2 linked regions of the Lonchura striata genome follow. The protein of the gene in region 1 binds, or shares a complex with, the protein of each later gene. Links are inferred from orthologs where the notes say so. Each region holds a gene or a part of one and is shown in the gene's direction. Other genes may lie near its edges. The genes, in order: HCRTR2 and HCRT.

Evidence for each region.
Region 2: the proteins of HCRTR2 (region 1) and HCRT are in contact, whole or in part, in a cryo-EM structure (PDB 7L1U), measured with the Homo sapiens proteins. The link is inferred for Lonchura striata from reciprocal best matches to the Homo sapiens genes HCRTR2 and HCRT. Residues at the interface, in NP_001371201.1 of Homo sapiens: Thr111, Val114, Trp120, Pro131, Gln134, Thr135, Val138, Gln187, Val209, Cys210, Asp211, Phe227, Thr231, Ile320, Ser321, Asn324, Lys327, Arg328, Phe333, Ala334, Thr336, Arg339, Val342, Tyr343, Phe346, His350, Tyr354; in NP_001515.1 of Homo sapiens: Asn89, His90, Ala91, Ala92, Gly93, Ile94, Leu95, Thr96, Met97.

Annotation. Positions count from the first base shown.
Region 1 is NC_134605.1:90,002,650-90,006,553, reverse strand, and holds the start of HCRTR2 (orexin receptor type 2), read left to right. Parts: upstream 1-1,519; 5' UTR 1,520-1,634; coding exon 1,635-1,863; intron 1,864-3,904. UniProt on the Homo sapiens protein: Nonselective, high-affinity receptor for both orexin-A and orexin-B neuropeptides. Triggers an increase in cytoplasmic Ca(2+) levels in response to orexin-A binding.
Region 2 is NC_134627.1:6,399,695-6,402,931, forward strand, and holds HCRT (hypocretin neuropeptide precursor), read left to right. Parts: upstream 1-1,478; 5' UTR 1,479-1,503; coding exon 1,504-1,572; intron 1,573-2,088; coding exon 2,089-2,532; 3' UTR 2,533-2,702; downstream 2,703-3,237. Other genes in the region: inactive phospholipase C-like protein 2, read left to right, coding at 1-85, 182-367; voltage-gated delayed rectifier potassium channel KCNH4, read left to right, coding at 3,203-3,237. UniProt on the Homo sapiens protein: Neuropeptides that play a significant role in the regulation of food intake and sleep-wakefulness, possibly by coordinating the complex behavioral and physiologic responses of these complementary homeostatic functions.

The DNA of each region.
Region 1 (3,904 bases):
TTTCATAGGCTGCAGAGTATCTAATCTTCTTTTATGGTATTTTCAAAGTCTATCCTTCTAGTTTATGTAAGACAGATGCTGATCCTTCCTGTATATCTGAGTATCTTTCACTCTGTAACATCTTTAGACTAAAAGGTTCACTCAAGTTCCCTGTGGAATAGGAAAGAAATTTTTTCTTTGGTTAACAAGGAACTAAAGCAAAGAAAGTATGTCTATAGAAATAGGAAGAGGTATTCCAGGTGTAGGTATGCTGCACTGAACTTTGAGAAGGCTGCACACTGATAAAAAACAATTGGGTAGCCTAAAGTGCTGTCTAGAGCACAGCACTCTATGCACAGTGTTAATGAATGAATGTCTGCCTCTCTATTATGCTTGTGTTGGAAACAGAGTGGCACCAAAACACTTCCTCTGTTTCTGTGGAGGTGCAGACCCTGCACTGAAATGCTTAACTGAGCTAGTTGTGCCATGTCCCAGTAGAAATGGCGCTTTTATCAGACTCATTAAATTATTTGGATACGAAATGAACAGGTTGCCTGAATAAGAGGGAATTTTATCAGTCAAGGAGGGACAAGTTCAGACCCATCCCTGCTCCTTCAGAGACTGTATACTTGGCAAAGTATGAAAATATTTCAAGAAGGAATGACAAGAAGTCAGTAGCCCTATCATGCTGTTTAACTAGCACTTCTGGGTTCTCTTGAACTGCTTTCTGCCAGCTGAGCCCATTTCAGAATAGCTGAGGGGTAGTTGCCGTATCAAGGTCCCAAGCTGGATGTTGAAACATCCTCAGTGCATGCTAAACTCAAGCTACAATGAGGTCTCACAATCTTCAAATCCAATGAAACCTCTCGTTTATCTGCTCAGCTCTCTTAGAGATTTTCCCAGTGTTGGGAAACCCACAGTGTTCCTGTTTCAGTGTAACTTTCAAAGCAGCACAGAAATAGGCATCCTCATTAGCCACTATTTTTAATGGCTCCTTTAACCCTGTGCTTCCTCCCTCTGCAGCCTTCCAAAGCCTTTAATTTACAAATATCTTGACTATATCTGGAATCTAATGTAGAAAGGTCTAAAGGGAAGTGCCTTTTGCAAGAGAGAGTGAGAAACCGAGAAGCAGTCAGGAGAGGGATGGGCAAGCTGGAAGTAGGGCTGGGGAGAGATGAGGAGCTGAGGATGAGCTGAAGCAGGGGGAGGACGAGGCGAGAGGCATGCAGAGATGCGGGGGTGTGTGAGGGTGCGTGTGCATGGTTTGGGGAAGAAAAACCGACATCGTCTGAAACGGACGTGACTTTTCCAGCCGGGGCGGGAGCACTCCGGCACCTGAGGCATGCAACCTACCCTGACCAGCCTTTTCCACGACAGTGCAGGGGGTGAAGCCTCCCCCGCGGAGGCTGCACCCCTTGCCCGGCCGGGGGAAAGGCTCGTCAGGGCGGGTTGGGGACCGACGCGGATCCCCAGCCTGTTCCCGCATTGGTTCCCGTAAGTTCCCGCGTCATTTTTCTCCCCACACCCCGCTTTTCGCACTGGCAACCACAAGCCTCGATGGACGGGCGGGAGAAAGCTCGGATGCTCTGAGAGGGTCTGGGTTTGGGTTTGTTGGTTGTTGTTTTTTTCCCCAGGCTCCTGAACACCCACTAGGGATGTCCGGGATTCAAACAGAGGATGGTTCCCCTCCGTATAGGAATTGGACGAGTGGGTCGGAACTGAATGAAACGCGGGAGGCTCTTTTAACCCCTTCCTCCGACTACGATGATGAGGAGTTCCTGCGATATCTCTGGAAGGAGTATTTGCATCCCAAGGAATATGAATGGGCGCTGATCGCCGGCTACATCGTCGTATTCATTGTGGCTCTCGTTGGGAACATCTTGGGTGAGTCGAGCTCCCCAAAACTTCCCGTTCTCCCTTCCCGAGATGGGTTTTACACGGAGGATGGCTGGAAACCCGGGTGGGTTTGACACGCCCCGCTGGAAAGGCAGCAGTCCCCAGCCGAAGGGGAAAGTTCGGGCTGCGCGGAAAGGGCCATAAAAACCGCTCCCGCTAGGCGGGCGAGGGGCTGCGGCGGCGGCCGCTGGCGTCCAGGGCCGGGCACGGGGAGCGGGGCGGCGGAGCGCCCGGCCGCGGCTGCCGGCCGGCTCCCGCCCCTGTCCGCCGGGCCACGGTGCTGAACCCTCCTGGCGCGGCGGCGGCTCCGCCTCTCAGCCCGCTCCGGAGGATGCTGCTCCCTTCCCGCGCAGCCCCGGCCGGGCGCCGGGGGCATCGAGCGCGGGGTGATTCTCCAGGACAGAGACAGGGCACGGGGACCGGCGCGGCGCCGGCCCGTGAGGGGAACCTGCGCGGCGCCCGGCCCGTGAGGGGAGCCGCGGGGTCCCCTCAGCTGCCGGCGGGCGCGGAGCGCGCGGCGCCTTCTCCGGCGGCGCAGCGGCCGCGCTCCGTCCCCGCGGCCGGAGCGGAGCGGGGACGCGGGGCGGGGGCGAGGCGTTCCCTCCCGGGCGCTCATTGAGGGAGCGAGGCGGGGCGGCGCCTCTCCTGGAGCCCGCCTCCTCCCGCTTCCATTCATCCTTGAAGGAGGCGGCGGGGGCGCGGAGCTGCGCGGCGGCCGCCTCGAAGGGAGCGGTAGGGGCGCTGGAGTGAGATGGAGAGCTGAGGATAGTGAAGGGAGGAGGGCACGGGTGGGCTGGGGCAGCGGGCCAGAGGGGTCTGGCCGTCAGCAGCCCGCCCGCTGCCCCCCCGCCGCTCCTCTTCGCTCCTCCCCACCGCTCCCCCGAGCCCGCTGCCGCCCACGGCGGGGGAACAGGCACCGGGCAGGGCGGCCACGCGTGTGCCCCGCCCAAGGCGGCCGTGCCCCTGCCGGGCTGCGGCTGGCCGGGGAGCGGAGCCGGCGCTGCTCCGCAGCAGTCCCGCGTTATGGACGGGCGCGGTGGGGCCGCGGGGAGCCCGCTCCGCCAGCAGCACCCCCTGGGCTGCGGTCACGGCCATTGGCATTCCCTGTGTCCATCTGTGACACCGCCGTGAACGGAACGCGCTGGGCCCCGCCCCGCCATACGGGTCTTTCATTCATGTTTTTCAGAAGGAATTGTGCATGGCAGGGCTGTCACTGCAAACTCTACAGGCTTCCCGAATTGAGATACAAACGAGACTGCAGCCAAAGGCAATATTTTAAATGTTTTTTTTTTTTTTTCTTAATTTCAGCGGATTGATCATGGTGGTTTTTTTTTGGTTTTTTTTTTTTTTTTTTTTTAGTAATTCTGTAGCGTTGCCCTAAGTGCCTATGAGCACGTCTGCTCAGTCCATTGCTCGGCAGCCAGCTTGATCGACAGTGTATATATAACAGCCCTAGCAAAGAAGCTTTATTTTAAACTAGGATAAAACCTGTCCTTTTTCATGATTTTGAGCAAAGACTATTTTAGGTGAATCACCTGTGCTTGCCTATTATACTCCACCGATACTGTAGACAAGCTGTCCTCTCACCTGTAAGAATTCAAGGTCAAATCTTCAGCTATAGGAGCTTTCGCCCTGTTTACAGTTTTCTCCTCCGAAGCCACGAGGAGAAAAACTTTCCTCTCTGTGCACCCACAAATAGGGATTATTCCACTGTGGATGTGCAGCTGTTCTTTCCTTGCATTTGTGTACATTAACTCTTTGCTTGGGGTGGAAACTGGCATCTGGTTCCGCATCCACCTGGATTCCATCTTTTACTGGATGGAATGTCCACCTTTTGTCCTCTGAAATCTCTCCAAGTTGTAGTACATGGTAGCAAATCTCTGTCTTAAAATGGAAGAGAAGTAGCTGAACACCTTTCTATCCACTCTAAATCACAGTAAATCGTACAATAGATCATTCAACTTTACAGCTGGACTCAATTAGCTTAAAGGTATTTTCCAACCTAAATGATTCTGTGATCCTCCTCAAG
Region 2 (3,237 bases), on another chromosome or scaffold:
CCGCATCGAGACCAAGGAGGGGCTGAGGGGCCGCAAGCTGCAGAAGGCGCTGGAGAGCTTCGCCTGGAACATCACCGTCCTCAAGGTGAGGGGCAAGGGCTGTGCAGACACACCTGCCCTGCCCTGCTCTGTCACCCTCCTGCCTCCACCCTAACACCCCCCCGACATCCCCTCCTCTCAGGGCCAGGCTGACCTCCTCAAGCATGCCAAGGCGGAGGCGCTGGACAACCTGTGGCAGATCCACAACGCGGGACAGTCCTGTGGCATTGGCAGGAACGGATCAGCCTCGCCAGAGCCCTCTCGGCTGCAAGCCCCGCTGGAGCCAATCCCTGAGACAGACGGAGGAGGCGACGCAGCGTCCTGCTGACCCCGGTCTGGGGCTCGGGGCCCCGACTGAGCACCCCTGGCCACAGGGGCCAGGAGCAGGGAGCCCCCAGCCTGCCTGGGGAACGTGTATGAGGTTGGGTGTCTGTGCTCTGCTGTGTTGAGGGGCTTGCACCAGAATTCAGTGGAGAGGTAGGGGAGTGATGTCCCTGCGCCCTCTTGCCTCTCCAAGCTCCCAGAGGACTCATCCATCCCCTCCCTCTGCTGCTGGAGACAGAACTCTGCCGAGGGGCCAGTGGGGATGCTGGTAGCCCAGTGCCCATGTGCACGTACCCCCAGCCTGCTGTGGCAGATGCCACTTGGAAAAGCAGCCCCAGGTTTGGGCTCCTGCCCACCCTCTCCAGGGCTGCAGGTTTGGCCTTCACCAGCCCTGGGAAAAACTTGACAGGAAGGAAGCATCTTAGCTGCTCCTCCATAGCATCCCTGGGGTCACCACTATGCAGAGGGGCTGGGAGGCTCTCTGGTACAGCAGATGTAGGGCCAGGGTGTCCCTGAACAGCAGATGTGACTTTCTGGCATCAGGGAAATGTTTGGGTTCATCCCCAGGGCAAGGGAGCTCAGCACAAGCAAAGGCTGGAGGTGGTCTGGGGTCAGTCTGGGGCTCTGGAGTGTTACAAAGAGTGCAAGACCCTCCCTGGTGCCCTGTGGCTCCCTCTGTTCTGGGCACAGGACCAGGATGGGACGGTGTCGCCAAAGGGGATGGAGGGCAGCACGGGGTACAGGATCCTGGTGGCACTGTCCCTCCCTGGCAGGGTGACGGCTCCCCACGTCAGTCAGGGAGCTGCACAGCTGCTGGCACCCCTTTGTTCGGGGGTTAATTAGTCTAATGGGGCTTTGAGCAGCAGGCCAGCGCTGACCTTCATCCCCTTTGTGCCAGCCCAGCAGCGGGGCCGTGGGCAATTATGGCCTCATTAGTGCCAGGCACCCTGTCCAGTGAGTACCCTCACAATGGGGAGCTGCAAATGAGGGGAAAGGCCTGGACGGTCTCCGGGCTACCGCTCCCACGTCTCCCAGACACCAGTTGCTCCCGCTGCCCCAGCGGTATTTTTGGCAGCACTATTGTGCTGGGCCCTATAAAGTGGCAGTGGCAGTGCAGGGTGCTGTGCTGTCAGCTGCCCGATGGGACATGCCCCAGAGCCACTCGGCCACCTGAAGACCCCAGGAAGGATGGAAGTGCCCAACACCAAGGTGGGGCTGGGGTGCTGCAGCCCCTAGGGATAAGAGAACAGCCATGGGTGGGAGGGCAGAATGTTGGGAGGGCCTGGCTGGTTTCTTGGGAAGCTCTGAGTGTGCAGCAAATCCCCGGGACTCTCTGACTGTAGCCAGCAGCTGATGAGGGAACTGCCTGGGAGGGAGCTGGGCATGCAGTGCCTGCAGCATAGGTGCTTTCACTGCCTGCCCCGTGGCACTGGACAGCGAGAGGAGGGTGTCTGCCACAGCTGCTGCGTGCTGGAGCAGGGCAGGGTGCGGTGAGGACACCCACATCTGGCTGCTGGCTGGGACACAGGTGAGGGTGCTGGCCGTGCCCCAGGGCAGCAAAGGGTGAGGCTCCAGGGGCACCTCGGGTGTGGGGCTGGGCCCCTGCGGCAACAACCAGGGCAGGGGGGAGCTGAAACACCAGTGAGCACAGCAGAGGGGCCAGTCCCGGGGCTGGGCAGTGCCCCCTCTGTGCCCTGTCGCTGACGCTGCCCGTTGCTCCGGCAGCCCCGGCGAGCTGCCTGCCTCCTGCTCCTGCTCCTGTTCTGCTCCCTGGCCGCCGCCCGGCAGAGCCTGCCCCACTGCTGCCGGCAGAAGACCTGCCCCTGCCGTGTCTACGACCTCCTGCACGGCATGGGCAACCACGCCGCGGGCATCCTCACACTGGGCAAGAGGAAGAGCGTCCCCCTGGCCTTCCAGAGCCGGCTCTACCGCCTGCTCCACGGCTCCGGCAACCACGCCGCGGGCATCCTCACAATGGGCAAGCGGGGGCAGCAGCCTGGCACCGCCTGCCCCGACACGCTGGGCTGCCCTGCGGGCACGGTCGCCCAGCCGACAGCGGCACCGCGAGGTGCTGCCAGCGGCCCTGACGGCCCCAGGGAGTGCCAGGGACACTCAGGGAAGGACCTGAGCACGAGCCAGGCCCAGGGAGCTGCAAGGAGCTTTTACTGAACGGGATGGGGGCAGCAGGACAGAGAGGGGATCCCTGGCAGGATGGACACAGCCGGAGCTCAGTGTAAATAGCACTTTTAGATACCTCCTCCCAGCCCTGGCCCTGGCCCAGCCTGCTCAGGGCACCGCGGGCACCGCGGCCTTTTACAATAAATGGTAGCCTGATGTCAGCCGGCTCTGTTGCGTCTCTGGGGAGGGGTCGGTGCGGGGCAGCTGCCGGGGGAACCGCCTTCCTCCGCGGGGCTGGCACCGGGCTCGCTGCGGCGTGCGCGGTTCCAGCCGCCCGGTGCAGCACCAGCACGGAGGCCAACCGAGGTGCGGCGCGTCCCGCTCCTTCTGCAGCTCCCGTGGGCCCGGGAGGGCCGGGGGCGAGCGGCTCCCGTGGCCCAGCGGGTCCCGGTGCCTCCCGGTGCCTCCCGGTGCCGCGGCTCCAGCGCCGAGCGGGTCCTGGCGCCACCAGCCCGGAGCCCCCCCGGCCGGATCGCGCTACCCGCGGGCGGGGGACGGTGCTCGACGGTGCCGAGGCCCCTCCCGGTGCCGGGGCGGGGCGGGGGCGGGGCGGGAGCCCCGGGCGGGCCGGGATCAGCCCGCGGTGCTGCGGAGGGGCCGGGGGCGGCGGAGGCAGCCCCGCCGCCGCAGCCCCGCGGCGGCCGGCCGGTGGGGCGGGACGATGCCGGTGATGAAGGGGCTGCTGGCGCCGCAGAA